2 linked regions of the Daphnia pulex genome follow. Each later gene encodes a partner of the first gene's protein in a complex. Links are inferred from orthologs where the notes say so. Each region holds a gene or a part of one and is shown in the gene's direction. Other genes may lie near its edges. The genes, in order: exosome complex component RRP42-like and exosome complex component CSL4-like.

The links.
Region 2: exosome complex component RRP42-like (region 1) and exosome complex component CSL4-like share a complex: the UniProt entries of both Homo sapiens proteins name them as parts of the RNA exosome core complex. The link is inferred for Daphnia pulex from reciprocal best matches to the Homo sapiens genes EXOSC7 and EXOSC1.

Annotation. Positions count from the first base shown.
Region 1 is NC_060020.1:2,133,221-2,150,338, reverse strand, and holds exosome complex component RRP42-like, read left to right. Parts: upstream 1-6,534; 5' UTR 6,535-6,678; exon of another isoform or gene 6,679-6,741; 5' UTR 6,742-6,787; coding exon 6,788-6,844; intron 6,845-6,966; coding exon 6,967-7,163; intron 7,164-7,233; coding exon 7,234-7,399; intron 7,400-7,466; coding exon 7,467-7,661; intron 7,662-7,722; coding exon 7,723-7,878; intron 7,879-7,935; coding exon 7,936-8,037; 3' UTR 8,038-8,147; downstream 8,148-17,118. Other genes in the region: uncharacterized aarF domain-containing protein kinase 5-like, read right to left, coding at 8,148-8,250, 8,308-8,475, 8,999-9,242, 9,356-9,526, 9,587-9,752, 9,814-9,945, 10,021-10,179, 10,264-10,624 and 1 more; uncharacterized protein LOC124192348, read left to right, coding at 14,981-14,992, 15,060-15,173, 15,240-15,707, 15,780-15,992; 1-phosphatidylinositol 4,5-bisphosphate phosphodiesterase gamma-1-like, read right to left, coding at 12,387-12,557, 12,628-12,735, 12,813-12,856, 12,921-13,016, 13,080-13,197, 13,266-13,408, 13,476-13,590, 13,664-13,895 and 8 more. UniProt on the Homo sapiens protein: Non-catalytic component of the RNA exosome complex which has 3'->5' exoribonuclease activity and participates in a multitude of cellular RNA processing and degradation events.
Region 2 is NC_060026.1:7,109,754-7,126,100, reverse strand, and holds exosome complex component CSL4-like, read left to right. Parts: upstream 1-8,475; 5' UTR 8,476-8,494; coding exon 8,495-8,630; intron 8,631-8,690; coding exon 8,691-8,809; intron 8,810-8,904; coding exon 8,905-8,974; intron 8,975-9,030; coding exon 9,031-9,209; intron 9,210-9,292; coding exon 9,293-9,499; 3' UTR 9,500-9,528; downstream 9,529-16,347. Other genes in the region: protein SERAC1-like, read left to right, coding at 9,663-9,730, 9,804-10,129, 10,213-10,337, 10,408-10,524, 10,589-10,856, 10,929-11,116, 11,224-11,342, 11,515-11,616 and 5 more; mitoferrin-1-like, read left to right, coding at 13,087-13,206, 13,871-14,141, 14,321-14,557, 14,619-14,680, 14,749-14,850, 15,229-15,555. UniProt on the Homo sapiens protein: Non-catalytic component of the RNA exosome complex which has 3'->5' exoribonuclease activity and participates in a multitude of cellular RNA processing and degradation events.

The DNA of each region.
Region 1 (17,118 bases):
GTGATTCTTCTTTCTGCATAAAAAATTGACATAAAAAGATAGTCAATTGGAGCATCAATAAAGGTAAAAGGTGTGCTGAAGTGGCGTGATTTGCTAATTATAGACATTCTATAGACTTGTCCTGATTTTTCTCTTTATTCAACATTCTAACAAATTTTTATTTATCACTTTAAAAATTAGTCGTTAAGCTGAACATTGCAGTCGGACCTCGGACTTTTACCGCTTTAGCTGATTGCCTGATTGGCTGATTTGGCTCTTTGCTAACTCTTTGCTAACAAATAACCGCTGCTGCTGCTGCCTTACAGCCACAGGCAGGAAAATTATTCTTTTCTTCAGATGTAAGTTTAATTTTTTGTCTTGACCCCCAACACTTTCTGTTAATATTATAGATTTTTATGTTGAAAGAGTTAAGAAGTCTGAAAAGCTAACTAAAAACTTTGTGTATTTGTGTCATAGGAAAAGCTGCTGGAGTAATCTGGTGTTGATGCTCATTACATTCATTTCGTGCCAGATTGCCAGCTATTGAAAGCCGAAAGGCATGTCGAATTCAAGTTGAGCTGCTGCGTGCTGTCTGGACTCTGGAAGCAAGCAATCCAGCCGTTGCGTTCAGTCATTTGAACAGGAATCTAATGGCTGTCAATAGGTGGCTGTCAATAGTTGGCTGAAATGTCCACCAGGTAGCGCTAGTGTCTCCAGGGACGCATTTCGGCCATTTTGTTCCAAGACGTAGCAGAAATGGGTTGCTGGTCGTGACATTTCTCACGATGAAAATTGAAAGGGTATTTATTGTTAATTTCCTATTGTTATTGCATGTAAAATGTTGATGTGAAAATTTACAGGTGATTTAGCATGTGGAAACCACTTTGCCAAGTCATTCAACTCAGACTTGGAAGTGCCTGTACATTGCCGAAATGGCGTGCCTCGTGTGTCTCGCTGTCTGTTCTTAGGCGTATGTCTCATCCCATACAACAGCAAAAAGTAATTAGGTTAAAGTCTATTTTAGCCGACCAAAACCTTACTTAATTCTACTTTATTTTTACTTTATTATACTTAATTTTTTCCTTAATTCTCAATTATTACTACACTCACTTAATTTACACTTTACTTCACTTCACTTCACTTTACTTTACTTCACTTTACTTAAATACGAGAAATTTCACGTACAACCTCTCGTTCCCTACCGTGTAGCAGACTGGCATCCTGTCAATATTATTAAAACACTGTTGCCAAAAATTCATAATTAATACATAATAGTGAAATATTATTTAGTTTATTTATTTTCACATCGAAGCAATGTCGATTAGCACTGTGGTATAGCACTGGATTAGAAATTCATGGCTCAGTGGTTCAAATCCGAGATCAGGTGAAATATATAAATTAAATTATTTTTATTTTAAAGTAAGGGTCAATCAAGATTTACTTTACTTTTTATTTTAACGTTATATTATTTTATCCTACTTTATTATGAAGTTCATTGTGCCATATAAATACAGCTTTATTCAAATTATTACAGTTTACTTTATTATGATATAACTGTAAATGTTATTAAAACATTTTGCGTATCGAGGAAGTGTCGATTAGCGCTGTGGCATAGCACTAGAATTCTAACATAATGGTTGGTGGTTCAAATCCACGATCGATGAAAGTAGCATCAAATCATTATAAACTTTACTGTATTATTAACAACTTGTAAGTGGCAATCAAGTTGTTACTTTATATTACTATACTTTATTATTCATATAAAGGTCATGGAACTTTACTATATTATATCATGATGAAGATACTTTACTTTACTTTATTATGATTTTGACGTTTCATGTATACTTATAAGATAAAGTAAAGTATAGTAGGTTAGGTTAGGTTAGGTTAGGTTAGGTTAGGTTAGGTTATATTAATAAGTATAATATGGCTGAAAAATTTCGATGTTTGTTGGCTGTTTTCGTTAACAAATCATTTAGCGTAAAAAGCGTAAGTTGAAATGGTGGGCTTTTGGGGGACAATCTGGATAAAAATAAAAAAAAGGGGGGGTTGGGGGGGTCTCCCCCCCACAAAAAAAAACATTTTTACTGCGATTCATTGCCAAACACTGCACATTGATAAAAAATTTACTTTTATATTTAAGTTTATCATGTGTTGCGTGGAAAACTTATCAAATAAAATTTAATATTCAAAGTATAAGTATGGCTCAAATTGTGATGCATGCAACGTCTGAGAATTTCCGTAGCAGACGACACCTGAATTAGTTTGATTTTTGACGGTGGTAGTGCAACATCTCAGGAATTAGACGGGCGTATTTTGACTAGACTTTTTGTAGCTAATAACGACTCAGAAGTGTATCACAGATTGTTCGTGAAACCAAAAACTCGCCATCTTAACTGCAGAATTTGGGATTTGCTTTTACGAAGAAATCATGTTGATTCCTTAATAAGGGACATAGAGTTGTGCTGTTAAGTTCGTTTTGTATTGCGGCAATTGGATTACCTTTAAGTAAATAAAGTAAGTGGTATTTTTACTTTACCTATCTAATTCACTTTGCTTTACTTAATCTAGATAAGTAACTAAGCGGGAATAAGCCCGAGCATACCGTAAAAATATAGTTGTTTTTGGTTATAGTATAGTAAAGTATAATGAAGTATGGTTTGATGCTTTATTATACTTTATTATACCCACCCAAAACCCCTGTATTTCCTCGCTACGCTCGGGCTCATTCCCGCTTAGTTACTTTTCTAGATTAAGTAAAGTAAAGTGAATTAGATAAGTAAAGTAAAGTAAGAAGTTGGTCGGGTAAAATAGACTTTTACCAGTAATTATTTTGATCAAATGTCTTGCAAAAGTACCATAGATTTAACATTGACTAACAGATTTAAGACTTCAAATGTCTTGCAAAAGTATCATAGATTTAACATTGACTTTAACAGATTTAAGACTAGAGAGTAGACCAACTTGCTACGCTACTATAGAAATTATGAATACCTTGCCTTCGTAAGATTTTAGATCAAAGTTATTCTGTTGGACTGCGTAGTTTTCTGTTACCCTATGTATTCTTTTATATAATGAGTATGCATGTGTACACAGTTGTGTTTCTCGAAAATAATTTTCTTTTCTTGAACAGGTATAACAAACACTTCTTTAATGCTGGTGGTTACCTTGTTGCAGCCAAATGGTGAAAGGTGTGACGAAGACAGAGTGAGTCTTTGTATGCAGCATGCGGGTGCAGTGTAATCCAGAAGTTGCTGTGCTGTTGTAGCTGAGCTGTTCCATCTGGGTTCCTGACTTCAAAATTTTTGTGTTGTCGTTATGCCATGAAATTGCTCTGCCAGTATTATTTTGTGTTGCCGAGTTTAAAGTTTGATCTGTTGTCTTTTGAGTTTTCATTCAATCATGCAGTATACGACTGAGGCAACCTGATCAATGTCAGGTTTGAAACAGTTGAGAACTGCTAGATAAAACAAGCTTTCTGCACCAAACAAATAATAACTTGCATATAACTTGCATCATGTTATTATCGCGGTAGAGAAAGCGACAGGCCCCCCCCCCCTGGGGGCCACAGGAAAAATGTATATGATGTATGTAAAATATTATAAAAATAAATTTTGTATGCAATAAAATATTCGTATCAATCTTTTTCGCGATAAAATTTTTAAAATTTCGTGTAAGGGGAATTTTTTTAAATTTTTTTTCAAAAACAAAAGTCTAGACTTAGCAGAAATAATGGAAGGTGGACTTTGAATTTTTCTGAATTTTTCAGTTTGTTGGACTTTGATTTTAATGAGAAAATAATTTATAAAAAGGAGTTTAAATTTTATTGAAATGTAAAAATTAGTTTGAATATTTTATCAGTGTATTTGGCAAGATCAATAAGTTTACATATAGCACTCAGAAATATTTTCACACATCATGCAATTATCGGCAGGAGAAGGTATTTAAGGAGAAAATAGAAACATGTGATTTATCAATTAATCTTGTATTTCAGCAATCTTTCACAAATACAGAGAAATACTTCAGAACTTAGGTGTTTAGGTCGGAGCAGTGGTGATATAGTAATGAAAATTGCAAAATACATATGAACTTAAGTTTGGTAGTTTGGAGCAGGGCAATACTTAAATTCGTCGATGTAGTGAACTAGGCAGCGTACGTAGTTGTGTAATAAGCGGCTTCTTCGGTGTAGTACTTGGGGGCTGCGGTGTAGCGTAGGCCGTGGTGTAGTGAACTGGAGCATCAGTGTAAACGTAGTACGAAAGAGCAGCTTTGGTGTAGCAAGTCGGAACTGCGTAATACTTGTCCGCCTCAGTTGTGGTTGTGTAGATCGGGGCAGAGTAGTACTTTGCCGCTTCGGTGTAGTATTCGACTGTCTTGGTGTAGAAATCAGCGGAAGCCTCGGTGTAGCAGCTGGGAACAGAGTAGTATTTAGGAAAATCGGTGCAATAAGTAGCTGAGAACAGGGCAATACTTTAGAAGCCTCGGTGTAGTAGGATAGGCAGTATATGTAGTCGTGTGGTGTCATCCATCGCCTAGATGGTGTAGTAACTCAGAGCAGAGTAATACTTCAGGGCATCAGTGTAGTGAATCGGGGCAGCGTAAGTTGTGGTATAAAACTCCGGTGCTTTGGTGGTGTAGTACTGGAAGACCTCAGGGCAGGAACCGGTCGTTGCGTAAGTTTAGTAGGAAGGCGGCGACGTTGCGGTTTGATTTCCGCCATACCAAGGAGACATCGCTACACCAGCAATCAACCCAGCCATCAACTATACAACGCCCAACAGGAGCACGACGCCATAGTTGACTAAACAAAATAAATTGAAACATTAATATTAAATAGTAACAGGCATATTAACAAATAGAAAAAAATATTATTGATACAAAACTCAATGTAAAAATAAGAATATTTACCCATGATTGCGAATCGGTTACACGATGAAGAAAGCAATTGGTGGTCCTTTTTTTGAAGACTCCTTTAACGCACAGTAATACTTCGGGACGTAGGTGTAGTAGCTCGGGGAAGCCAGGTTGTAGTGTAGTACTTGAGCGCTTCAGTGTTGTAGTAATGCGGGGCCTCGGTGTACTAGGCAGGGGTAGCACACATAGACGTGTAGAAATCCGGTGCCTTAGTGATGTAGTACTTGGGAGCCTCGGTGTAGTAAACTAGGCAGCATACGTTGTTGTAGGCGGCTTCTTCGGTGTAGTACTTGTGGGCTGCGGTGTAGCGTAGGTCGTGGTGTAGTGAACTGGAGCATCAATGTAGTATTCCTGTTCAACGTAGTACGAAAGAGCAGCTTTGGTGTAGCAAGTCGGGACTGCGTAATACTTGGCCGCCTCAGTTATGGTTGTGTAGATCGGGGCAGAGTAGTACTTTGCCGCTTCGGTGTAGTAATCAGCGGGAGCCTCGGTGTAGCAGCTGGGAACAGAGTAGTATTTAGGAAAATCGGTGCAATAAGTAGATGAGAACAGAGTAATACTTAGGAGCTTCGGTGTATGAGCCTCGGAGGATGGGGCAGCATGCGTAGTCATCTTCCGTCGCCTTGGTGGTGTAGTAACTCGGGGCAGAGAAATACTTCAGGGCGGCAGTGTAGTGGCTCGGGGCAGCGTAAGTTGTGCTATTCAAGTCCGGTGCTTTAGTGGTGTAGTACTTGAAGACCTCGGTGCAGTAACTGGTCGTTGCGTAAGTTGCTTTTGGGTAGTAAGGCGGCGGCGTTGCAGTTTGGTATCCGCCATACCAAGAAGACATCGGTACACCAGTGGTCGACCCAGCCATCGATGATTCAACACACAACAGCAGCACTACGCCATAGTTTGCTAGACAATTAGCAATTTTAACATAAATATTACATAATAACAGGCATACATAAACAAAAGAAGGATTGATACCAAACTCTACGTAAAAGACAGAATATTTACCATGCGAATTGACAGACAGAGCGCTGCAGTTGTTGCCGTGTCGGAGATGCTCCCTCAACTGATTTACCTTCGCCTTTTCTCTCGCCTTTTATACGATTTTTTCTCACCCTCACCTCTTAAGCCTTGCGGTTATTTTACCTGCTTGATAATGATGCTACACGTGTCGTTCTCACCCAGCCTCTACTCCACTGCATGACACGTTTTACGTAAAGATCTCCGTGACCTTCAAGTGTGACTGTCCTTTCCTTTTGCAGGTCGGACGTTGCTGGGGATGGGTCTACAACAACCAATATCAAAATGAATACCAAATGGTTGTGTAAAACGTCTCGTTCTCACCCAACCTCTACACCATTGCATGACAAGTTTTACATAATGATCTCCATGACCTTCGAGCGTCAAGGACATGCAAAAGCTGGCCTTTCCTTCTGGAGGTTGACGTTGCTGGGGGGTGGGTCTACAATCAATAACCAATATGAAAATGAATACCAAATGTTTATGTAACACCAAGGGTTTGGAGAGGTCTCTCCATGCCCATGGTAAATGGTAACACGTATAATGTAAAACGTATGGTAACACGCATAAAATCATGTATAATGTAAAAATAAATGGCGTGCAATCAATGTGCGTACTGTAGTAAAAAAACGCAATTGGCAAATAAATAAACCAATTAAATCTGTCTTTAGAATCTGAACCTGACGGATGTCCGACAACGTTGCCCTAATGTAGCAGACAACTGTCGAGTGCAGACATATACAAACATACTAGCTTGAAAACTAGTAAGGTCTGGTAAGGTTTACAGTTTACTTACATTCCCGTGGTATTTTGATTAAAGTCATCTGCGTTTGTTAGTTGTTACTGTTTTCTGTATCGTTGGTTACCTTTGAGCTCCATATCAATGGCAGAAATACTTTTAAGTGAAGCTGAGAAAGCATTCATTCATCATGGTGTCCAGGTATAATTAAATTCTGTCGGTCTTGCCAGTAAAATTTTTTGGTCTGTAATACTTAAATCAATCAGCTCTTATAAAAATAAATTGTCCTTACTTAACAAAATTCAATTTTTGAAATATCCAAGGATGATTTACGATGTGATGGTAGAACAAGGCTGGATTATCGCCCTATAATTCTTGAAACTGGATTAGTTTCAAATGCCAGTGGATCGGCAAGGCTGAGACTTGCAAACTCTGATATTCTTGTTGGAGTTAAAGTAGAGCTAGCTTCCCCTTTACCTGATAAGCCCAAAGAAGGAAGGCTGGAGTTCTTTGTGGATTGGTCTGTTTAAACAATAAATATAAATAGAATTTAAAAGTTTTTATGTTAATAGTACTTTTTGTTAATTTAGCTCTGCAAATGCAACACCAGAATTTGAAGGGAGAGGTGGAGAAGATCTGGCAAATGAAATTTGTAGATTCCTTCAAAGATCTTATGCTTCAGGTGATACAATTAATTTATCTGAACTTTCTGTCTTGACAGGACAGCAATGTTGGGTCTTGTATGTTGACATATTGGTAATGCTGGTGTGATATTTCTACCAATCAACAATTTCTCATGAAATATTTTATGGCATTAAAATAGATTCTTGAATGTGGAGGGAACCTTTATGATGCAGTTTCATTGGCTGTGAAATCGGCTCTTTATGCAACACAAATTCCTTCTATTAAAGTAGCAACTATGGACGGGGATCAACCTGAACTGGAGCTCTCTGATGATCCTTATGATACCAAGAGACTGAACACAGAGAACATTCCTTGTGTAGTGACTTTGATGAAGGTTTGAAAGTTAAAGTTTTAATTTTGAAATATTTAGTCGAATACTGTGTTTTCACTTTCAGATTGGAAACCATTACCTAGTAGATCCAACACCAGAAGAAGAATGCTGCAGCTCTTCTGGTATTGTTGTGGCGGTCTCAGGCAATAAAAAAGTTACTGCCGTTAGGAAAATTGGCTCCGGAAGTTTGCATCCAGACAGCCTGGTGTCAATGCTCAAGGTTCGAAATTTTTCTATTCTTTACAATCCCGCAGTCTAATGTTTCTTGTTTGAGTAGACGGGAAGTGAAGTAGGCGCGGTGGTCAACACAATTTTGATGAAAAAGCTCCTAGAAGAAGAAACGTTGGAAGTATCCCAAAAAGTTGGCTTCATGCGGTAAATGTCTTTTAACACAAAAGGATATATAATTGAATATTTCAAAGGAATTCTTGCAATTACAAATTTCACGCGACATTTGTGTCCTGCTACTAAATACAATTTCTAATGAAATCATTCAACCATTTGTACGACAATTGTCATATCAGGTGCACGACCAAGCCAAAATAACACACGAAGGCCCCAAAAGGTGAGCCTCATCTGTGTTTTATCCCACCTGTTAAAAAAAATTCACTGAGTTATCACGTAAATGAAAGAGACATCTTAAAATTACCACAATCGCCAGTCAAATAGAAATTGTTGCAAGACTCCTTGTAGACGTTGACCAAATGAAGCACCAGGTACGATGAAAAATCCTCGAGTAGCACTTCTGGCCATCAATGTATAACGATCGACAAGACTGCCATGGTCTTTGGTTATTGCCCTAACTGTATTTATGTTCCTTTATAAAAAAAAGGAAAAAACAAAACAAAACATAAAATAAATCTGTTAATTTTAACTTAGAAAGCTGCCCTTAGTTAAAACCAGTAGGCTGATACAAATTTATCAATTTTGCTGCATCACACAGCTCTCTAAGGATTACAGCTTATTGTTAATTCAATATCCAGTATTACCTAATAGTTAAAAGCATTGTTCTTGGCATGGAACGAAGGTTATTCATGATCATGTCGAAACGCTGCCCCGCCATTTCTTGCATGTATTTCAAATCAGTTTCAGAAAGTTGATTTAAGTTGGATAAAGCGAATTTCTGATTTCCGATGGGTCTTTGAAGAAGCATTTCAGCGAAGAGCAAATAGTCTATACAAAAAAGACCGCGAAAGAGTTTCTTCGTTTTATCTTATTTAAAGTTTCAATTTTAAAACAATTCTTAAATTAACGTATTGATGCAGCAAAATTGAGAATCTGTTGTACGCTTCCTGACCTAGTTCTAGACCAACAGACCAACACTGCAATCAACTAAATACCTAAAAATGAGCATCAATTGAGAAGGCATGGCCCGGAAGCTATCCATCATCCTTTCATGAATTTCATCCATTTGAATTCGAATTGCTTGACGTTGTTCGGTTGTCATCTTCTGCCATTCTCCTACTTTCGGCCCCTTGTGATCGTAAAACGAAGCAAAGACCTGATTCACTGAATCGTGTTCAGTTGGCCATGGTGGCGCTGAAATATAGCGCTGTGACACGGCCATGCAGAACAATCGGTAATCTAGTCATAATACAAACCCATTCCAACTTTCAAAATTGTTACGAGAAAAAATTTGCCTAACGAAGTTTCAAATGACAACGGAAATACTGATAATAGAAAGAGAAACTACTAACCATTCACTCCAAGGGCAGCGGCATGATGCTTCATTCCGACGTGATCGTTTAGCACTATTGAAGACCACAAACGACAAAGAGATTTGCGAACAGTAGACGGAAGCTCTTCATATAATCCGTGATCCAGCAAAACTATCTGTGCGTCGCCTTTTTTCCCTCGACGAACTAAGACTACAAAGAGATAAGTAATTAGAGTCTCACTGAAACAACAAGAACCAATTCTTTGATTACTGTTTCCTGGGTGTGGATCAGCATGGACAAAACCAGTGTGAAAAATTTGTTCTGCAAACATTTCAACCAGTTTGTGGCTAACATCTTTTATTGAAAATCCTGCTTTTTCTAGACTGCCTGTATCACTCACTTTAATCCCATCGATAAACTCTGTCGTTAAGACTCGCTAAACAGTTAAAAAAAATTTATAATATACCCTAACGAAGTGAAATTAGTGCATATATTACCTTGCTAGTCAGATCCCAAACGACATCTGGGACATAAACATAAGGCAACGATGACAACTCTTTGGCACATCTTTCACCATTGTGTCCTTCATTGACAAAATCGAGTTCTTTACAAAGAGTACCCTTCAGATCCTGCATTAAATATACAAACATATCTTTAACCTTAATACATAATAGCATGATTTTTACTAGTTGTTTCGTTCGTACCTTGAGAACCCATTTAAATTCAAATTTTGGATGCATCCAACTGATCAGTTCTAGTAGCAATTCGATTGTAGCAATATCACCATTGAACCGATCCTGCAAGTCAATATACTGAACCTTTACAGCAACTTCTCTTCCATCTTTGCATTTGGCCCTAAACACCTGATCAAAAATTCTGATTATTTACACCTGTCCCTGCAATCTATGCAGTCTATTACTTAATCTATTACAACTTTATATTTATACTTGAGCCAAAGAAGCTGCAGCAATAGGTTCTTCATCAAATGCCTCAAATAATTCTTTATGGTTCTTCCCAAATTCTTCTTCAAACAACTGCCCAATCTCAGTGGCCCCTCTAGCAAGACATTTGTCCTGAAGCACTTTAAGTGTATTAAGATATTCTTTTGGTAAAATGTGATTCATGGAAACCAGGCCTTGTCCAAGTTTGATATACAATCCCCCATTCCCAAGACAGCCAGCCAGAATTCGGTCTGCAGTTCTTTGGTGTGTTTTCTTTAATTCTTCCTGATATTCAGCAGAGTCTTCATCAACATTTTTCAATGACCACCAATAGTCTGTTGATATGGTTACTCCTATCACAAGGGATCTTGAAATAAAATTTTAATTATGCTAGATTTCCATAAATAAAAACTTAGCTTATAGTACCTCAAGAACCTTCCTATTCCTTGAACTGTTACTCTGACTTTGCGTTTTTTTTTGTTGTCAGCTTGAAGATACCAGATCCCAGGAACAGCAAAAGAAGCTCCAAATAAAATACTCCATTTATTCTTAGCTACTTTTACTACTTTAACATTAGTTTTTGATAAAGAACTACACTTCCTTACAGGTTGACTATTTGTATTTAGATATATTGACTTAAATAGCTTAATAGTCTTTAGGGATGAAAACATGGCTCTCTCCAAATCTTGATATGGAATAAAATAATTGTTTTAGAAAAAAGAGTATAATCTAAAAACTATACAATCTTGAATCTTTCTTCGATTCACGCACTTTTTAAATCAACTCTGTTATGCAATTTTTTTTGTCTGCTAAATGTGCTATTCTGCAATTCAGTTACGTTACAACGGTGTCATACCACCATAGTTCTTTACAGAATATTTATTAAAACTTAATAAACAGGCAAAACAGCTATAAAGAAATAAGCCAAAAATTTAAATAGGCTAACTGAAATGATTTTTCATTATTCTTTATTTATTTGTTTTTTTATTTTGAAAGATTTTTTTTATTATTTTGAAAGTAACAAAAACGAAATGACAACAATGGTTTTTTTTAGTTGTTATTATTTTGATTTTTTCTTCTGCTAAAGAATAAAGACTGTGGTATTAGAGTTATCAGAAATATCAAGCTACTATAAAACGTTAACTTCAATGGCTGGAATAACAGCCGGTTCAGCATTAAGAAGAATTTCTTGGAAATGTACCGGGTATTGGGACATATTCTCGAAGCAAAATACAAAAATCTTTCCTGCCTTAAAATTCTATTCAACAGGCAAAAATGGTGATGTTAAAGAAAAGAATTACATCCAAAGATTTCAAAAGCTTGAAAGTGAACAAAGAGAAAGTCTTTCAAGCAGACTACAAAAAGGCATAAACATTGGAACATGGAAATTCTATGTTCAAGACCTTGTATTAAAAAACCTCAAGCCAGACATAGTGCCCTTGTCTTACAGAATGTGCTATCGGAGTGGACTTGAGACTTATGCCAACTTTGGCATCTTGACAGCAGCATTGACATCTGTCTTTCTATCAATAACAGTACCTTTTTATCTTTTCCATCAAGGATCAACATCTATCCCGTTTGAAGTAGCAGGATTCTTTTTTGGTGGTGTAATTTGTACATATTCTTTGTTTAGTGTGTCACGTCAGGTTCCACTTCGTATTTATTATTCTGAAGAATGTAATGATTTCCTTGTCTACATGCCTCAGTTTATACCATATGCCACAAAAAAACTAAACATTCAACCTGGTCATGTTAAACCACCTACTGGAACTTCAGATTACTTGCCATGGATAAATCTTCAACACACACACACTCAAACAAAGCAAAAGATGCTTATTGATGGTGAAAAGTTTATATTGCCAATGTATTATAACAAACTGATGGGTTATCATTAACATGATTGTAAATCAGCAGCATTCATTAATAAATATGAATAAACCACTTTAAATCAATTGAGTATATAAAGGCACCCATTCGATAGAGCACTTGCTGAATAGTCAAATTTTTTTTCATTTTAACCATCAGAATATTCACAAAAACATTCTGATGAAAATATGAATGACTGAATGCTCAATTATAACCCCATCTTTCCTTCATATTGACTTCATGGAAATCATTTATGAACATTGCTACTTTTCACGCGTACGGTTAAAATCTTCAAAAATTTGGGATTCGATTTCTTGGAATTCGGCGCGAGCCTCTTGCTCAGCCAATGCGTCACCCCGCTCCTGAGCGTCGGTAATTTGGTTTCTTAGGTCACGAAGCCTGTCCCTTTTCAACAACACCGAACTCCCTTCATCCTGCAATGATGATCAATGTAAATAATATAAGTCGAACTTTTTCCTGAGTGAGCAAATTATGGTTTCCTACCTTTCTCTTGTGGATATCCAGAAAAACTAAAAGTGATGCCATTTCAAGAAGTTCACTAAAGCCATTTTTTAGAGGAACACTTCGGAATCCCCGACGAATACACAAAAGCTGGGAAAAATAACATGTATAGGTTGATATCAAATACTTAGGAACTAGGTAGCTAAAATAAAAATGATGAAGGTTACCGGGTATGTGGCTTGTGCAATAAGATGAGAATCACCAAACATATCTGTAAAAATGAATTTTAAATCTTAGAAAAAGTTTTATTTTATTGCTTGCAAGTAAATGTTGACCTATATCGTATACGGCGAATCGGAGGAGTGCCAGAGAGGGAGACGCAACTTCTAACTGAAAAGTTTCATCCCAAACAGGATTAAAACCATTGTCAGCTGCGGAAGAATTTTGATCATCAGAAAAATAACAAAATTTAGAATTTTTGGCTTATACAATACTTATGATCTTTGTGGTGTGTTTGTTTATGTTGTCTTGTTGGCTGCCAATAATCTCAATCTCTACGCAAGGACTTACTATCCCTCTCTTGGATTTGGTCAGGTGACGGGCAGCGATGACCTGAGTGTCATTAATATGTCATTAGAATTGTGGACTGGTGGGGATTGTTTGATTCCACAAAAAATTACCTTAACAACGACAATTAGAGGATCCTCTGCAGTCTGCAAAGGAGATTCTAGCGAAGTATTTTTCAACATAAAGCTTGGCTTCAATACATAGCCACACTTGCCGTTTTGCAGAAATTTGGCTTCATTCAACTGCATACTTTTATCTTAAAAAAAAATGGCAAGATTGAATTATTAACAAGATGTAGAATAGTGATAATATTAATCACGAACCAGGAGTCTGGTAATTTAAAGCGGCCATCTGTGAGCCAACGTTCCAAAAAGGAACTGGGCAATAATTACTAGAATCAATTCGTTGTCCTTTAGGGTAGACACGGCTAAACATTATCTAGAAAATATTTATAGGCATACCTATACTAATGTTCTATTAATGAAAATGTTGTTGCTTCATATAAACTTACTTGATGATACCAAAGGAAAAATTTAGGGTCTTGTAGCATAAACTTTTCAGCTTTCTGTTCTGGGAATGAGGACATTTCATACGGGTTTCGCCCATCACGCGAAATACGTTCTTGATTAAACGTTACGGCTCGGCAGTACACAATAATGTCTGAAAGCTCTTTAGCAATTCGCCACGTTAATTCTATTTCACGATGAAAATTTTCGCGGACGCTACAACGCTGTGCGACACTCCTTAAAAAACAAACAAGATTCAATTAACAACATTACAATTCCAATTTGAAAATTCGAGTAATACTTGATCGTGTTACACCAATCGATAGCGTCTTCTTTGGAATCACAACCCAATTCGATAGGCTCAGAGTGCAAGGGTGACTTCACTCGCAGCAGCCATTCGGGAGCAATTTTTCGAGGATTGAGGTCTGGAGAAGTATCGGGTGGTGATTGGGATCTGGGATGCAATGCCACCAACTCAATTACAGCTCCCGCCACATCATAGCTTCCTTTCTGTAAGCTACCGAGTGGTGTAACCTCTGTGGACTGTAAAATAAAAATCATAATAATTAATTCAACATTCATCTTCTTCCGCCAATGAATTGATTACGTTCTCGTTTTGAATTTCTTGGGTTATGTCAATTTCTTGTGTGTAATTAGCCGGGAAGAGGAGTTGCCGCCGTCCTCCATAATCGCCCCGCCACCATCCGTTGTCTTCCTTTTTCACGTTATAAATGATGGCGTGTTTGCAAAAACAAAGTTCGTCATCCTGTTGGCTACGGTAATCGTACAGAGCTTTTACGGTCACCTGAACAAGAAAGTGAATTAGTAACACAGCTAGACGACTAAATCAAAAAAGAGTTTGATTTTACCCCTGTTAAAGCGGTTGAATCCATGTAATTAGGTGCGTCTTCTCCATCTTGTGGACTCTGGAAAAGAAGTTTAATTTTTTATTTCAATAATAATTATTGTATAATTCGATTTTAACTATTAGTTTGACTCTGTCAAGGTCATGTGTTTTATTAAACCTGCTATTTGTATGACTTGTTTTGTCTCGTCCGGCCGACGTGAAAATAATCAAATTATAAATTGCCTAGACTGAGTCGCATCCGTTTCCGGAAGTTCAGTGTTCGGCTTTTCCAAGTGATCTCGAATTCATGCTGCGATCAGCAGACAACGACCGAAAATTTCAAAACAAATTACCGGTTCAATCTCAATTTTCACGGGCAAAGGGTAATGACCACTATAAGACGGGCTACATGGAAAGTATATAAGATCGAGTCAGGTACGATAACCATCACCAGTCTTGCCTTCCAGTCAATAAAATGAACCGATCGGTAATATAAAAAAAAAAAAAAACTAAATTTGTCAATAACAAAGATTAACAATGTTACATTCTTTCAGTTGGTTTTGTTCACAATATGCATTGCTGCCAGTGGGATCAACGGCCGTCCACAAGCAACGCTTCCTTTGTTCGGCACTCCCTTTTCACCGGTTATTATTCCTAATAGACCACAAGTATAAAATATTTTCCTTGTGTTTAAAAAAATCGTATTGAAATGGCCTTATTTTCCCGCTTTTTAGTCTATCTACATGAGGCCAGGCGAACAGATAATTTTTTTAACAGATGGACTACCAATGAATTTCAATGGAGTACCAAAGCCATCGATGCAGATGCCTATGCCGATACTATTTCCTATGCCTGGTCCTCCGCCTAGAGGCTCGTATTTGCCATTAGCTCTTTGGCCGTATTTCAACAACCAATTCAACTCTCCCATGGGTTCAAATGGCTTGTACAAACAGCGTGCAACTACACCAGCCACTTCTATTTTGTCCGAGAACAAAACAGAAGTTTCCACAACTATTCAAACTGAAGTAGTTTCAGAAACCCCTACAACTGCTAATGAATCACTAGTTGATTTAACATCGCCAAAACCAACCACTGTTGCAGCAGTTGAGGTAGATCAACAGGTAACTCAGTCACCTACAACTAATCCAACTTCTGCGGTTCCTACAACATCGCCAACGTCTTTGATTAATCTGACACGCAAGGTAACAGTTTATCCTCGCCTTGCACTCGCAAATGCTTAAATGAAAGAATTTAATTTCTATCTACGGATTCAGAGTGATGGAGATTACAACTTCGAGTACAGCGTAAACAATCTACCAACCGGGGATGTCAAAAGTCACGAAGAAACACGATTGAATGGCGTCGTAACGGGTTACTATATGATGTTGGAAGCCGACGGGACAATACGCAAAGTAAATTACACGGCTGATGCTGAGAACGGGTTTAGAGCCACAGTAAGCAAACTACCCGTACCAATCAATAAATAAACTATTTGATTAAAAAGACATTAACCAAAAAAAAAAAAAAAAAATATTTAACTGACCCGGTAGTTGACGTACAAAACTATACGGGTAAGCATTCTTAAAGAATAAATTAACGGACGACACTTGTAAACATTACTTGAAATACACGAAAGACAAATTTTTAATTGACTCACCACTCCACGTTGACGAACAATCTCCTCTGTCACAGGATAGCGAAGACGCACTTTTCGATAAAGAGGATTCTTTTCATAGTAGCTAACCAAGTCAATGAGACTCTCGAATTGAGCTGTCCCAATAATGTAAAGACGGCCCTCTTGTTTTATCCGACAATGTTTGATTTTCCCTTCAGCCCTGTACGAAAACATGTGATTTACGCAAATTAGATATTGATTTAAGGTATGAAAACAGCACATTTGCTTACCTGAATGAAATTGAAAATGTGTTTAACTCTCGCTCGCTGGGTCTGACAAGAAATGCCTGGTTAAAAAGTACGGAGTAAATAAATGGCCAACCCAAAAGACTATTTAAATAGGTAGACGATAGGCTATCTAAACAGGAAATGTTTTTTTACCCCGTCTCTTGGGATCCAGCGAAGTAATTCTTCGGCTTTTGCGCGTACGGTTGTCGGATGATACCAGTCCTTACTTTCATGAGTGCAAGGTTGAGGAACTGGTTTGTTTAAAACGATACTGAAACCCTGTAGAAAACCAGATCCGAATGTACTGTTAAACAAGTGACCATTAACATTAAAATTAATTAATAACCTACCGGGCTTCTTAGCGGATGAGTTTTGTAATGAACAATTAAACTATACAAACTATCGTAGCAGTTAGATTCAATAAGGTAGTATTTCGTTCTTCCCCAGTCTTGTCGACTACGTATATGGCAATGGTAGACCTTATTCTGACGCCTTGAATATTTCAAAAGTTTTCATGGAAATTAAGATTGCTTTTAAACCAACAATAGAGGATGTTACCAGAATGAGAGGGAGAAATCCCCTACAAAGTTTCCACTTTTCCGAACAAGAAAAGCACCGTCCCCTAAAGAAGGTCCATGTTGCTGCAACAGTTCTTCCGCCCTGGGTCGACCACCAGCAAGTCGACCATGAAACCAGTCCTCGCCGAAATGT
Region 2 (16,347 bases), on another chromosome or scaffold:
TGGGAACACTTTGGCCCGTAATCCGCCGTGTTAGCGCGGAAACACTCGTCGTGTTTTCAAACTTAAGGTGGATACTGTATATAAAAGATAAGATAGTAAAACGTCGATGTTTAAAAAATGGGTGTTCCAACAATACATTTTTGAAAACTTTAAACTTTCTTAAATTTTTCCCAAATTTGGTTTTAATAAATGAAATGTAAAGGGATGCTTCAATTGTTTATAGGTGATCATTTTAAAAATATTAAATATTGATATGGAAGGTCGGGGTCATGTTGGACGCGTCCAAGGTTGAATAAATCAATTTATTATTAAATTAGTAAGAATTAATTATTTTAAAAAACATTAGCAAGTGTAGAATTTCAATCCCCATTTAGGAATAGAATTTTGGTTATCTACGTTTTATATTTGTAAGATATCTTAAAAAATAAAAATTGCGGAATTTTTTCAAAGAATATTTTTTTACATTATTTCGGTATTGTTCAAAGAAAAAGTCAAGAAATTAAAATACATGACATTTAATAATAGAATGCCCATGTTTTATAAAGTCCGGTGATTTTTTCATGTACAGTTTTTTTTCAAATATTCATGGGGATGCTTTAAACAGGCAATGTGGGCTGAAATTAAACTGCACGGGGGATACGGAAAAAAAGCCTGCCAGGGAAACGCCCCTTTTTTTAATGGCTTCACCCCAAATTGTCCAGTTCACCCCCCCCCCCCAACCCTTATTTAATTTCAGAATTGAAGTAACTTAATTACTATATATTACAAAGCTTATTCAATAATATATCAAATAGTATATTAAAATATATTTCAAGATATTTATCAAGATATGTAAAAAAATATTCAATAAAACTGAGGAATGGATTCTTTTGGTGGGGTTGTCCAATCTTTCACCCTAATCGTCCTATTTCACCCCTTTTTTTTATTTTCGTAATTTTTTCTAAATTCTATAACTAAAAAAAAATTCGACACCGGGAATATTGAAAAAATATCGAACATAGTTGGAACCATAAGCTGTAAGTTTACAAAATATTTTTTATCATATTTCAACAAATTTCTCAATTATGAAAAAAACAAAATTTTGTCCAGGATAACCCCGCCCTTCCCTTTACATCGCTAAACCCCTAACAACGTGATATTTAAATCACTAAATATGTTTATTTATTTACATTTTATTTTGTTATATATTTTAGGATACACATTAGGCAAAACAACGTTTTAATTTGAAGCAAAAAACATCATCTATTTTCTGTGACTTTTCGAAGAACGAAGATTTTTACACTTTTTGCAATTTTGGGAATTATTTAGATTTTTCTACTCAAGTTAGAATAACCATCTTTAATATACAGTAGCTACCAAAAGTTTGCGAACCTCCATGACTACTTTTAAAAAAATTTCGTTGTCACCCGTCAAAAATTCGATTTTTGGGAACGCCGAGAAAATCACCTTTTTACTTAAGGTTCTCTCGCGCGTTCACAAACTGTTTGTAGCTACTGTGCTTAAACTAAATGGGTAGTAATAAAATAAGACAGTATGCAGAATCAATGGGGCTGCCTGGTATGCGATGTCGAAACACTTGGTCCCTAAAATTAATTATGATTTCAAAAATCTTGAGCAGTATTTTATCATTTCTCATTCTTTAAAATTCTAGAAAATGAAAAAAGTGAGTTCCGTAATAATGTTTGCTAAAAATATGCCCCGCCCACCCATCTCAATAATTTGTCAAAACCCTTCGGCGAAAAATCTTGTTTTAACCCATATTTAAGATGAATAATCACAGATAAAATCGATTCAGAATTTTTACCACGCCAAGATTTGTCCGTTTTGGTGTTGAATCTTGACCCTTTTTTATTTATCAGATTTAGAAGATGATGATAGAGATTAAAGAAGATGAAAGATTGAGAAATTTAAATTTTAAAAAAGGTTCAAGGAGATGTGAATCTGACATTAAATATGTTTAGCCTAGGCTACACTACAGCTTTTTTAAGGCTAAGTAAATATTTCCTCAAAAAGGCATTAAAATCTTAAATATTTCTTAAACATATTAAACATTTTATTTTATTTGAAAACTTTTTAAATTGAGTCCACACTTCAAACCGTGGGACGGGTAAGAAACTTTGTCGCGCACAAAAACTGTGGTAACAATTATTTTGTTGATCTCATTCCTTAATAGCAATTCATTGGCTGTCCACTAAAAAGTGTAATATTTAAGCCTTAAAAAGCTTAAATTAAAAACGTTTTGAATTTTTTAAGCTTTTTTAAGTTCTTATCTACATATTTCTTGAAAATATGGGTTACGTAAAAAAGTTTGGCAGTTTGAAAGCGAAGACAGACAAATTGTTAAGAACTTTTTAAGGTTTTTTTTTATTTTTACACAAACCTTAAAAAAACGCTCGAGTGTACCCTAGGCTTTCATTATAATATGCCCAAAAAGTTAAGTTATTAAACTTAAAGGCCAAACTTAAGACATAAATAAATGAGTCTCATTCCGTCATGGTCTCGTGGACTAAACTAATCAACCAGATCTGAAAGGTTAAACACTTACCCCAATTATGATAAAGCAGACAGCTTTAATAAAGAAAATGGAGAACCATTTCATTTTGAAGTGTGGTTTGAGAGAGCTTGAGATGATATGAAATACCAATGACTAGCAAGTAGTAATAAATATGGAAAAGAGTAATTCTACAAAAAAATGCTAATCTCTCGTTCTACTTTCCTAAAAACTGCTGAATACATCGGGTACCTAATGCGCATATTTTGACGACATGCTTACCATATGGCTAAACTAGACCAACAAATGGCTGATTTATTCGACATGAATTTAGAATGAGTAAATGCAGAGAACTCTAAATCTCCATCCATGTGAAATTGGACACAGCTGTCATAAAAACAGGATGTAAGCTACCTGAAACCATATTTTAATACACGAAAAACAGTAAACATATATAGTCAGTTCAATAATAGATAAACGCGGTTTGCAGACTGCTGCCCGAAAGAAATGGAAATACACATTCGAGAGCTAACTTTGTATGAAATGTGCACGATCGTTAATTGAACATTATTTATGAAAAAATATGCAACACTCAATAAAACTTATTAAAACCCTTTTGTCTCGAAGGTACCTAAGTCTTCTCTTAGATTATAACTGGGTCATCAGCCCAAATCCGATTATTGGTCTCTTTCTCACACCGTGTTTTCTATAGGCACACGGAACGTGGCATCCCCCTTTCAAGCCTATCTGAAAGCATCAACCGCCCTCGTCGCCTTCCTCTTATTTCGCAGCCTCGTCCTCTTCTTTGTCCTTCATCCAAAAAACCGCCTTCCTTTACTTCTTCTTCGTGTAACCGACGATCCAACCCCAGTTTGTTTTTTTTCTTTCTCGTCTTCTCTTTTTCTTCTCATTTTTTTAATTCTCGTCTTCTTTCTCGTCCTCGTCTTCTTCCTTATCCATCTTCCTCAATCCATTTTCTTCCTCGTCCCCGTTCAATCAACGATCCAGTCAATCGGCCTCTTTGTCGTCGTCTACCCTACGATCCAGCCTCTAAGGTCTCTCAAGGTTTGTCTTTTTTCTGGTTTCCTTCTCTGTCTAATTGACGATCCAACTTCCAAAAGGTCATCTTTTCGTTTTCTTCTAACCGACGATCCGCTTCCTCGTCAAACCGCCGATCCGTTTTTCGTCGAACTGACGCTGCGGCCTCGGAATGGTCATCTTTTCGTCTTCGTCTAACCGTCGATCCAGCATCCAGTATGCCTTCTTCATTATTCTGATCCGCTTATTCAGAAACCCTCTATTTTATCTTGGGTCTATCAACTCTTACGCTAGGTTAGTTCAACTCTTACGCTTGGTTAGGGTTCGTCTTTAGTTGATTCTTTGTTGTCATTGTTTCCCCACTAGATGTCTTTGTTAGAGAACAATCAACGGTAGAATAACTGTTAAAAATGACTTTGTTGCAAATTTTGTTTGCGGCGGGTGTGATTTTTCTAGCGATATTTTTTATTAGTCTGCTAGTCACGTGTTCTGGCCGATCGGTTTAACACACAGCACAACAGCCAATCATCATCTGAATCAAGAAAAACTTTTTCGTATCTTTTCCACTGAAATGGTGAAGAACCCACACGAGTAACCATGACTTTCGGTTAGGTATACTACGAATCTGTCAGCCTGGTGTGTGTCACGTTCGGCACCCTAGCAGTGTGATAGCAAAGCACAACAGCCTTCGGTCCCAACTCTACTTACCCCCTAAAGGAGTAAAAACGTCTATCGGCGGAACGGACTTTTTCTCATTTTGTCATTTTAGCTAAAAAAGGGGGTATACCCTAAATAAAAATTTTAATTCAGACTTTTTAATGAGCATTATTTGTTCTTACTTTGTAAGTATGAAACCCGGACAAAATCGTACTGTTGGATCTTAAAGCAATTTATAATCAAAAATTTGTATTTGGAAAATATATGGAGTAATTATAAAAATTAAATTATTATATATTAAAACTTTTAATAATACTTACAGTATCAAACGAATTTAAAACACCCCTCCCCTTCGTTTTGCGAGTACATTCTTGTTGCGCTACGTGTCTCATTGCAACTCGAACAACTTTTGAAGGGCTAGAGATGGAGAAAAGACGATCTACAAATTTGATCAGATTTAACCCCACGTCTCTACATCCTCGTTTACCAATTAAGTACACCCACTTTTCCCCGCCATAAGCACAGTGTTAAAATCGGTCATTTAAAAAATTAGAAAACAACACTTTGAATATAAAAGTTTTTTACCAAAAGATGCATCATCAAATGGTAGATAAAAATAAAATATTTTCATAATTTATGAATATTTTCTAAACAACTTCCCTATCCATCGAAAAGGGTCTTTGCATGAATAAGGGATCGGGTGGAGATCATAATCATTCGAATCAGTTTTTTACGCTGATTCTCGCATTTTTTTTTATTTTTTTTTTTATTATATTTTTCTACCGTAATCTCTCTTCAAAGTTGAGATAAGCCCCTCGCAGAACAATACAGACCCCCGCCATGTTCGCTAGGCGGTCCTTTAAATGTGATCAATTTTCAGACGACCATCATTCAAATCCAAATCAGCCTTTCCGCATTTCGCCTTTACGCCCTAGAGGCAAAAGAGGGTTGTAGGTAGCCATAGGCAGCACGAAAAGGGTTATTTGGGTGAAGGTCGTCTGCAAATTGATCACATTTAAAGATCGCCCACCAAAAATGGTGTGGGGTCCGTTTTAAAGTGGGGGGAGCTTATCTCATCTTTGAAGAGAGATTACGGGGGGATTATAATTTTAAAAATAAAATAATAATACTATGAGAATCAGCGTTAAAAACTGGTTGCTAAAACCCCATCTAGCGACGGCTATTTTACATTACTGTGTATGTAGAACATGTTTAAATAGTGATTTGAATTTTTTTTACCCGTGTAAACACATTTTCTGGTGGAGGTCGGACCTATTGCCATGCCGGTCCGACAGGGCAATAGCCCTCTATGGCTATTGCCCTGTCAGTGTTAATAACCCCATCTAGCGACGGCTATTGCATTTTACTTTACGTATGTTGCATTTTGCATTTTTTCTTTAGTCAAGGCCTATTACACCTTCTTAAATTGTATCGTTCACGACTCACGAATCATGTGAGTGTTATCATGTATGTGGAATAATTTATGTCCCCATCACAAACTATAATGGATATGATGATTCTTATACCTACGATTGTTACTGAATTCTCAGGTTAGATAACCGTAATAACAGTAAGCGTTTTGTTTCATCTCGTTCAGTGCAAATAAGTGCAAAAAAGTAATCATTCAATTAAAAAGGCATAATAAAGGTTAAAGGGACGTGCTAGTTAAAACGCTATACAAGACACGGTGCACTTTAATGTGAAAAGAAATCATCGCGGAAATCTGAAAACTAATCAGTGGATCAAACATAAAAATCACAAATCACAAATCAGTGATTGAGAGGGTGATCTTTTACACAAGCAAAAAACATTTTCGGTGGTTCTTGTATCATAAAAATCAATTGAGAGAGATAGTACACGAGTGACGGTAAACACACTCTTGTGTAAAATTCGAAGGCAGGACACTAATTAAAACTGTATAAACGAAACTCTATAAACTAAAAAATATAATTGGCGCAGGAATACATAGGTAGAAAGATGAAAGATTTCAATGTCACGGAATCAGATCGATCATTAAAATTCAGTGAACTATCCGTCTTGTTTAAAAAATATAACTTAATGTTATTTTGTTAATTAATATGCGGTGATTGAAGTGCTTAAAAAATAATCGACCCGGGGGAAGAAAAGCATTCAAAGTGGAACGATTCAGTGCAACAGGCGTGAACCAGTTTTATTTTTTTAAAGTAGCAGGACGGCAATATTTCCTGTGTTCATGATTTTTTTTTTTTTAGACTATTGAATTTCCGTTAATTCTCTCAGACGTAAGAGGGTGAACGATGAACCATGCGCAGCCAGTTCTGCATAAAACGGGAGACGGAAGAACGGGAGTCCCGTCGGTTAAGTAGTTCAAATCTTTCGTAGCCTATGTATTTCTTGTTTGATTCACACGTTACGTGGGAATCAATCTGCAGAAAAGGTCGATAGGGTGAGTCACGTTGCTGGTTGATGTTTATTCAAGGTCGTTAACAACCCCTCGCACCCCATTCTGACTTCTGAGAACTCCGGCTCAACCTTCAACCAACCAACTGAACAAGGTCAAGGGGGGAGACTAAGGGTGACTCACTTTGTTGTTGTAAATAAACCAGGTAAAAACCCAACAAATGCGTTGCGTTTTTCAAAAATGTCTTACTATAAACGAGTTTTAAAACTATTCATCCATAATGATACGAAATTTTATAAAATATCCATAATTAATATACAATAGCTTACTTTAATTTAACTCTAGTTTTGTTGGATCCAAACATAGTAAAATAAAAAAAAACGAGAAATTATTTTCGTGTTAACTTATTCCAGATTAAGGTTTATAATCATAAGAAAACAAATTAAATGAAAAATTTTCTGGGATAACTTTACAATATTAAACGTTCCATATTAAATTATAACTTTCCTAGTCGTTAATTCTACATAGTATTCATATGGATTCAAAAACGCTACAATTTTTTTTCTTTTGAAGTTCATCTTTCTCATATGCTATTTGATTGATTTTTATGAAAAAAAAATCATAAACATCCCTTCGGATACCTTGCTAATAACGCAGGTAGCTGACATCATATCGTGACATGTGTTTTTCGAAAAAATAAAATTTTTGTCATAAAATTTGTTTGTAATTTTACCCTATGCATCTTATTTTAAAAACCCAAACCAAACCTAAAAGTTTTACCATTAAGATTGTTCTTGGTTCAGAAAGGCTACCAATAGCCGTCGCCAGGTGGCGGTTTTAGCACTGACAGGGCAATAGCTCTCTATGGCTATTGCCCTGTCGGACCGGCATGGCAATAGATTTCACGCAATTTGCTGGGACATGGCAGCTTTGTCAGGGGTATGGAGAGAAAGGTATGGGGGTCTTTCCATACCCCTGGCTTTGTTAAACACACTTTCCGTACCATGTCGAGAGTAGGCATGGTCGAGAGTACTCAAGGCATCATCTTATTGGGTAAAATGTGGCATCACGTGACTTTTGGCAACGTCTATTGGGAGATTGACTGTGTGCATGGACTACTCTAATTAAGGACGGGATTCTTCGCCTATCCTGCCTTGTTAAAGCTAGTCGGGTGGGGTATTTTCATGAAAACATTAATAAAAAATATCATTAAATTCAGTTTTTTTTGCTGATTCCAACTATAGATATAAATCTTAGTGAAATAAACTAATCATTAAGATATTATAAATTTACTTTCAGAAGTAGGGGTAAAAGGATAAAACACCGGTGCCATCTAGCAACCAAACACCCTAAGCTCTTAAGAATATACGCTACAAGGTAAAATATAGTTAGGCAGCTATGTCAGAGGACTAGATAAGAGAGTGGTTTTTTCTTTCTCTCGGTATGCATGCATGGGCATCTGCTTGCAAACTAACAAGAGCTTAGGAGGTTTGGTTCCTAGATGGCACTGGTGTTTTGCCCTATTTCAAATTTTTCGTTAAGGAATTGGAAATATCTCTATAAAAATAAATGTTAGGTATAGGGCTCTTCGGGATCTGTTTTATTTAGCCGATTTATCTGGCAACGCAGCATGGTTCGAGACTTTTTTAGGGCGAGAACGGGGAGAAGAGGGAGAATGGGAGGACACCCTCCTCCCTCCCATTCCTCCCATCCTCCCTCTTCTCCCCGTTCTAGCCCTAAAAAAGTCTCGAACCATGCTGCGTTGCCAGATAAATCGGCTAAATAAAACAGATCCCGAAGAGCCCTATAGGAACATATGGTAATTCTATGATAATTTTTAAATTCTGATTCTGATTCTCCCACAAAAAAATTTACATGGCCGACATAGGAAACGCCGAAGAATATACCGTCCTTAATTAGAGTAGTTCATGCTGTGTGCACACTTAACGAACCCCACCCGTGAGCCGCCCAGCAGTCGACGTTTTTTTCTAACTTCGAAGTTGTTCTGGTGTGCGAAAAAAATGACGAATAAAGAATCAGACAAATGTGTAATATGCACTCCCGGTAATATTAAAAAACATATTTTTTTAGTTGTCATTTTGATAAAATGTTTGCATTTTTCAGGACAACGCATATGTCTGTCGGATAACCAATATATTGGAGGAGCCGGAACTTACACAAGACAAGGTTATATCACATCATGTTTAGCAGGTGTTGTTAAAGTAACTTCACAACCTGATAAGGTTAGTGGTTAAACAGTGAAATTAGATCAGTGAAACAATTCATTTGGTGTGAAATAATGAACTTCCGAATATTATGTTCAAACTTTTCTTCCTAGAGAATCCTGATAGAGGTTAGAAGTGGTAAAGAACAGACAGTTGTTCCATCTGCTGGTGATGTGGTTACAGGTACTGTTTAAATTATGTGTTGAATTTTGTGAATTTCATCTTAAACCTTTAAATAGCCAGAGTAACACAAATAAATCCTCGCTGGGCACGATGTGCCATTTTGTGTGTTAAGGACATTGTATTGGCAGAACCCTTTAGAGGACAGCTGAGGAAAGAAGATGTGCGTGCTACAGAAAAGGACAGGGTTGAAATGTACAAATGTTTTCGTCCCAATGACATTATTTTAGCAAGAGTGGTAATTATTTGATTTTGATCATTATTTCAACTGTAAAGTGAGTATGACTTCTAAGATGAAATTTTTTTTCATGTTGCTGTTAGCTCTCATTAGGTGATGCACATTCCTATGTTTTGTCAACAGCAGAAAATGAATTGGGTGTTGTTATAGCATACAGTGAAGAAGGTACTCCTATGGTTCCAGTAGGATGGCAAGAAATGCAGTGCCCAAAAACTTATGTTAAAGAATTGAGAAAAGTTGCAAAAGTTTCGCCAGAAACAATTTCAAACGAAAATGCAACAGGCGTCTAGATTATATTAATACATGAAATTTGACAACAAAGCTTTTCGGATTTTATTTTATTGGTGTTTTGTCGACTGCTTGCGTTTCTGTTCAATTCATTTCATTTTCTCCAAGTTCCTTTTTTCTAATCATAATTTATATTCTTATAGTTTTTTCAAGCATGTAAATAAAATGAGGAAACATCGCCAAGTGAAATGGAAAAATTTGCCGAAATCTCTAGCTGTCATTTTTATAATTGGGTATTTCAATTCCTAGCGAGTTCTTGTAATCAGCATATAGAAAACTACAATGTATCTTTTCTTTTTTATGAAGAGGAGGAACTACTCTGGCATACCAAATTCATTCTTTAAACCGCCGGTTTTCATCTTTATTGTCAGATGCCGCAGTTGAGAGAGAACGTCAAAAGGCTGGGTGCTATATTGCTATTCCTCAAACTGTAATTGAAACTGAGATTCATGCTATGACCTCTAAACTGAAAAATGTTGAACAAATGGTGGAGACTCTTATGAAGGGACCAACACATCTTGGTCTTGATTCAAATCCCTGGCATCTTCTTCGAATTCTTAAATCAGAACTCCCTTCTCATACTCAAGAACACTCCACTGCTTTAAAAACATTGGCTACTTCACATTATAATGGTATCTTCAAATATATTATTTACAGATTATGGTTATGGTTATAAAGTGTAAAATAACTGCTGATTATTCTTTATATAATATAGTTGGATTATCCCAGCAAATTGCCCAAGCATGTGATTTCAGGGTTAGTGTCAAACTGGCAAGAACAAAAAATGTTAACCTAAACTTGTTCCTACAACCCCCTGCTTACATAATTTCAACCTCTGAGGTTTTAAATTATATATTTAAAAGCTTATAAATGATGTGTCTTTTAAACAATCCTATATCCTCTATTATAGCCCATAGAAGATGTGTTAAACCACATTCTTGACAAAATTCCTACCTCCAATCAACACACTTGTGCTACATATTTTCTTAGCATTGCTCAAAAAATTACTGAAAAAGACAAAGATGAAGTAAGTATTTCATTTATGTAGTAGTTGATGAAACTTGTATAATATGATTCATTTGTTATTCCAGGAATTCAATCTTAGATGGGATCCTGATACTGCTAGAATTATACATCCGGGAAACATTGTTCAAATCGTAGAGCTGTACTTACAAGCTTTATTGGAACTGTCTCGTTCATTCGAATCCTCAATTTTAATGGTGCAAAATGGACTTCTTGTCGCGCTCTGGCGAGTCGTGCATATGTTCAACAAGGAAGCAGCGCTCAAAGCATTGTGTGTTAATATAATTGTGAACATCTCTTTATTCTCTCAGCTCCATCATCAGATTTTTCAATCAGGTATACTGTATAAGAATTTAAAACGTAATAAATTTTACGTAAAAAATTAACTTAACCTAAAAAATTAAACAGGTTGGATTGGCCTTTTAGCAGAATTTTTTGGTCCTCAACATGCTTCTCTAAATTTAGCTGCTGGAAAAGCTCTAGCTAATATGGACCAAAATAGCCGCAAATGTGGAGTATATGATAGATCAGTTTACCTGCTGCATCCGTTGTACGAGGATAAGGATGAAAGCAAGAAACCTTGCGTTAGACAAAATGTAGTTGGTCAAATTACGCTATGTTTTGCTAGTCTCATAAATGTTTACTAATTTTCTTTACATTACTTGTTAATATTTCATTCATATATCGCATCGACACTCGACAGGCAAAAAAATGGAGCATGGATGTTATTTTCGTTCATGGACTTCTTGGAGGGGTGGGATGGACTTGGCGGCAGAGTGAACTACTCGGCATGAATAGCGACTATAGCGAATGCTGGCCAAGGTATAATAATAATAATAAGCTATGATGTCATGCTGGCTCACTAGGTAAAGTTTATGATTACTCATGTGCGAGTCGTTAAGATTAACCATAAAAGAGGAGGTTGTGTTGACCCGCTACACCCTTATAATCTTTATTTATTTACTAATTTCAATGGGAATTTATTATTTTACAGGGACTGGTTACCGGCTGACATTCCTGATCTCCGAATTCTAGGTGTCGATTATGCGACTTCTCTGTCACACTGGAAGAGTCGATGTCCGGATGATGCACGTAGGTAATGGAAGCATAAAAATCGGAATAAGGGGGATTTGTATTGGTTGCTTTGAGACAAAGTAGAAATCTTAACCTGTTATAAATCATTTATTACAATAGGAGTGCAATCAATTCTAGAGCAGACCAAATATTGCTTTCACTTAAGCTAGCTGGAGTGGGAGGTCGACCTATTGTTTGGGTTGGACACTCCATGGGAGGCTTGCTATTGAAACAACTTCTAATTAACGGTAGGGTGTTGTGGATCCGCTCTCTTCGGAATATTCACTAGCTGTTATTCTTCCCTAGCTTCGAAATCTACTGATCCTGAGCTACAGAATATAGTCAGGAACACAAAAGCATTGTTAATGTTAAGCGTCCCACACGACGGATCAAGTGTAGCAACCTTGAATCTACCTGCGCGTTTCCTTCTGCTTCCTTCTGTAGAAGTAGAAGAATTAAGGAAAGGTGAGTAAAAGACAATGTTGTAATACTACTTTTTGTTTCTTTATCTACAGAGAATTTCTTGTGCAATGCAGGCTCTAACATACTAGATAATCTGAACTTAGAGTTCAAGAACTTGTTGCTAAAATTCCCAATAGGAATTGTCAGTCTAGTGGAAACCAAAGCAACGCTAGTACAACCATGGGGAATTGAGTTCAAATTTGTGGAACCAAATTCTGCTGGTAAACCCATACTTTATATGTATATACATTTTTTGTTAATCTCTTGATTTTTAGATTTACTTTCCGCTGGTGAAGTTCATTATTTACCTGTTGACCATTTTGAAATTTGTAAACCTCTTAATAGGTATAATTTCATCTTTATCGTCTTAAGTTTTTGTTTAACATCCGAATCTTTTTATTTTTTTTTAGAAATTCATTTATCTACCAGCGCCTTATTAAGCTGATTCTGGGAGTTCGGGTAGGATCTCCACCAAAAGATCTAGTTCTCACACTACCTGAACATAAATAGGAGATTTTAACCATTCAACTAGTACCAATTTATGTTTGAATAAAGTGACAAATGATTTAAAATGTATCAAATTATTTACTATTTAGATATAATGCCAAAATAAGAATAACTGGCAATGCCATTTGAAAATACTCAACATGGTGTATTTACAATTTTAAATTCATGACAAATTTTTTTGGACAAAATAAAATGAGAAGCTGGATTTAAAATTAGTAATACATAATTTTTTTTATATGTATATTTATTGTCATGAGTTTTATATTTTAGAATCCTCGAAAGCCCGATACCCACGTGTTTATTTTACAGGCAACATTGGGCGGCTGTTGTGTACTGTCGTCTGCTTGTACAGATCACAACTAAAAGTAAAAACTGAAAAGTAGCAGGACTACTAAACGAAAGGAACCTTGGAAAATTCGAAGGAGTAGAAGAAGCTCTATCATTCGATTGAGCGCTCTCGATGGTAAACCATCGAAGTCAATCTCATCCTCTCACTCATTCCAGTGTTTATCTCTCGTAAACGATGGCTGAATTCGACGAATACGAGTCTTTGCCTACCTCGAATTCCACTACACACATGATTGCTGGTTCCATGGCTGGAGTTTTAGAGCACTGTGTAATGTATCCAATCGACTCTGTCAAGGTAATTTAGATGAGACATTAAACCTTAATTTTTGAGCCAAATAACTATATAGTTGGGTGGGACTTGGGAGAAAAGTTATCGTTCAGTCTGTACTAGTCTAATGCATTCCATGTTTCCATAATTAGAATTTTCCCTAAATTTCTTATTCAGTATGCTAGCATGTGATGGACATGGGTATCAAATATTGGATGCATTCATAATAACCTGTCTTTAGACAACAAATATATTTTTTCTGGTTTCTTTTTTGGAGGCTTATTCACATTTATGCCTTTTACATTTACGCCTTATTCACATTTATACTTTCTCTCAACGTAAAAAGTCGAAATGGGCGAAAAAATATTTTATTTGATGGTCATATCTTAATCCGGGAGTGTGCTTATGACGAAGGATGTAGCTTTATCACTGTGACCTGTGTCTCTCAGTCGAAACTTTCCACATCAACTTGTGGCTCAAGTTGCACTGCTAGTACGCCGGACAGCTGATAATGATAGTGGGGTTGATAGCGCGGTTCTATGTTTATGATTACTATTGGCCATCCGAAGCTAGCAGTGTGTGTGAAATGTTGATAAAGCCAATAAAAACATGAACTTTGGAAGATTTCAAAATATTTCTCAAAAGTGCCCTCTCATTCCATTTGATTAATATACTGTTTTATCTCATGCAGACCCGTTTACAGAGTCTTGTTAGCGCCAATCGAAGTCTCGGGTCAGTCCTGGTGACTATGATGAGAGATGAAGGGGCATTGAGACCTCTTCGCGGAATTGGAGTCACGGTGGCCGGAGCTGGACCAGCTCACGCCTTGTACTTTGCTGCCTATGAGCGATTGAAAGTTGATTTCACATCGACAGGCTCAGCACATCATAACTACTTGGCTCAGGGAGCAGCTGCCTCCGCTGCCACTGTTCTCCATGATGGAATTATGACGCCAGCGGAAGGTATCCATCACGTTTCCGACAAAGTTAATGCGTGTAGCTTTGACAAATCCATATGATCTGATGACCGACTGTGTTTCCCTTGAAAAAAAAATTAACATGAAAATCCCCTGCTAGGTACATCATATCAAATGTGATGGATGTAATTTGATTTGTTTCTTTTTTCTTGGGTGCGCTCACAGTGGTGAAGCAGCGATTGCAGATGTACAACAGCCCCTTCCGGTCCATGACAGAGTGTGCCCTAAAAGTCTATAAGACGGAAGGATTTTCCGCCTTTTATCGCTCTTACGGCACGCAACTCGCCATGAATGTGCCGTTCCAGTGTGTTCACTTCATCGTGTACGAGGCAATGCAAAATGCCACCAACCCCGAACGCACCTACAATCCTTTAGGTCACGTCGTCTCGGGTGGAGTTTCAGGTGCGCTTATTATTCATGTTTTGTAGGAGATATGTAATAACTATCCATTTTGGATTCATAGGAGCCCTTGCAGCTGCCCTTACCACGCCGCTTGACGTCTGCAAAACTCTGTTGAATACTCAGGTAATTCCTTGTTTTCCAGACATTCGATTTCATTTTGAACTTAAATCTCAATTTTGAAATCATTTTAGGAGGCTGAAGTTCTGCAGCGAGCGCAGAAGACGCAAATCAGTGGATTTGTTAACGCCGCCAAAATGGTTTACCGACTGGGCGGTGTGAGCGGCTTCTTTCAGGTGAAAAATTTAATAATTTTCTTCTTTATGGGTCCACACCAGTTAATTTTCAAAAATCAACCTATATACATCTATGGATCAAATTGCTCAGCCTTTTTAACTCGTAAGCGTCGAATTTCGATTCCGTGGCAATGGTGCATTGCCTTCCTATTCACCTTCCTCCCCTTTTGTTGCCAACAAGGTTAGTCATACGAGTTGCGTGAAATGTGAAATCGCTTCATCGTTGTGCCACCCAGAAACCCGAGTCCTTGAGCTGTTTGTCGAACTTGCTTGTCGTTTGTTCGGCACAGTGCCTGTTTTTTTTTTATGATAACATCGAATCAATTCATGCGACATTTTATTAACCAAATTTTCTCAATTTATTCTCTTTGTTTTCAGGGATTGCAAGCGCGTGTATTGTTTCAAGTTCCCTCGACGGCTATCTGCTGGTCCGTCTACGAGTTTTTCAAATATTTTTTGACAAAGAACGGACTGAACGACCAAAGAGAAGGGGGCGGAGTCACGTATGAAAAATCCGACAGGGTCAGCGGAGGCTCAGGAACTGGCTATCCGCTCAATTCGTTGAACGACGTCTCATCTAACAACGCTATCGTTGGCGGTGTGTCTTTGGGGGCTGGCCACGTCCTCATAAAAGAGGACCTACTTCCAACCGGATCTGCCGCCAGCTCTGCTTTGTCAGCCGCCCGTGCCTTGGGTGCTGTTTAAATATTTTTCTTCCTTCTAAAGCAAAGAAGTAGAATGAGAAAAAAAAAAAAAAAATCGCCAAGTATCCCCAATTAAATCCCCAATCTCTAGGTCACGCCTCTCTTTCTCTTCCGTTCCCAAGATCTGTCAAAATTAATAAACACATCTTTCTCTAGCGACAACTCAAATGGCATTACGTATATAAATTTGCACCAGAAAATGTAGCCACAAAAATTACTTGAATTCTTGATGCCATATGAAATTGTCGTTAAAGAAAGTACGTTGAGTTATTTTGATAGCTCCCATTCAATTCTTTTATACATCCCGGCTGCCTTCTTTTGGATCCTTCTTCGGAAATCATGTCTATGTTATCACATGTGAGTTAATCATTCTGTAGGAGCACCGTAACGATATCGTTATTTGTATCCTTTTTTTTTTTTTTTTTTTAATTGTTATTGTTCCCCCTCCTTCTTTTTTCACTGTTCATTTTACGTTTTATCCATTTCCGAAGCAGCTGTTGCCTCGTTGGGGTGATTAGCCTTTAGATGAGGCAGTCCTTCCAGATCTGAGTCTTCTAGTCTGTGATGCTATTTTCCTGTTTTCCCATTTGTTTATTAACTTTGGACGCTTCGCGTTAGGGGGAAATCATTTTTTTTCCTTTTTTTTCTTTCATACCAAGTCCCACAACAATCTCTCTTCAAATAACCTCAACACTTCCTTGCAGAAAGCAACGATGAAGTTATTCTATCACAGTGATAGTGTGTTAAAAAAAAATAACTAACCAAATTAGATTAGAAAAAGCAAGAAAAAATT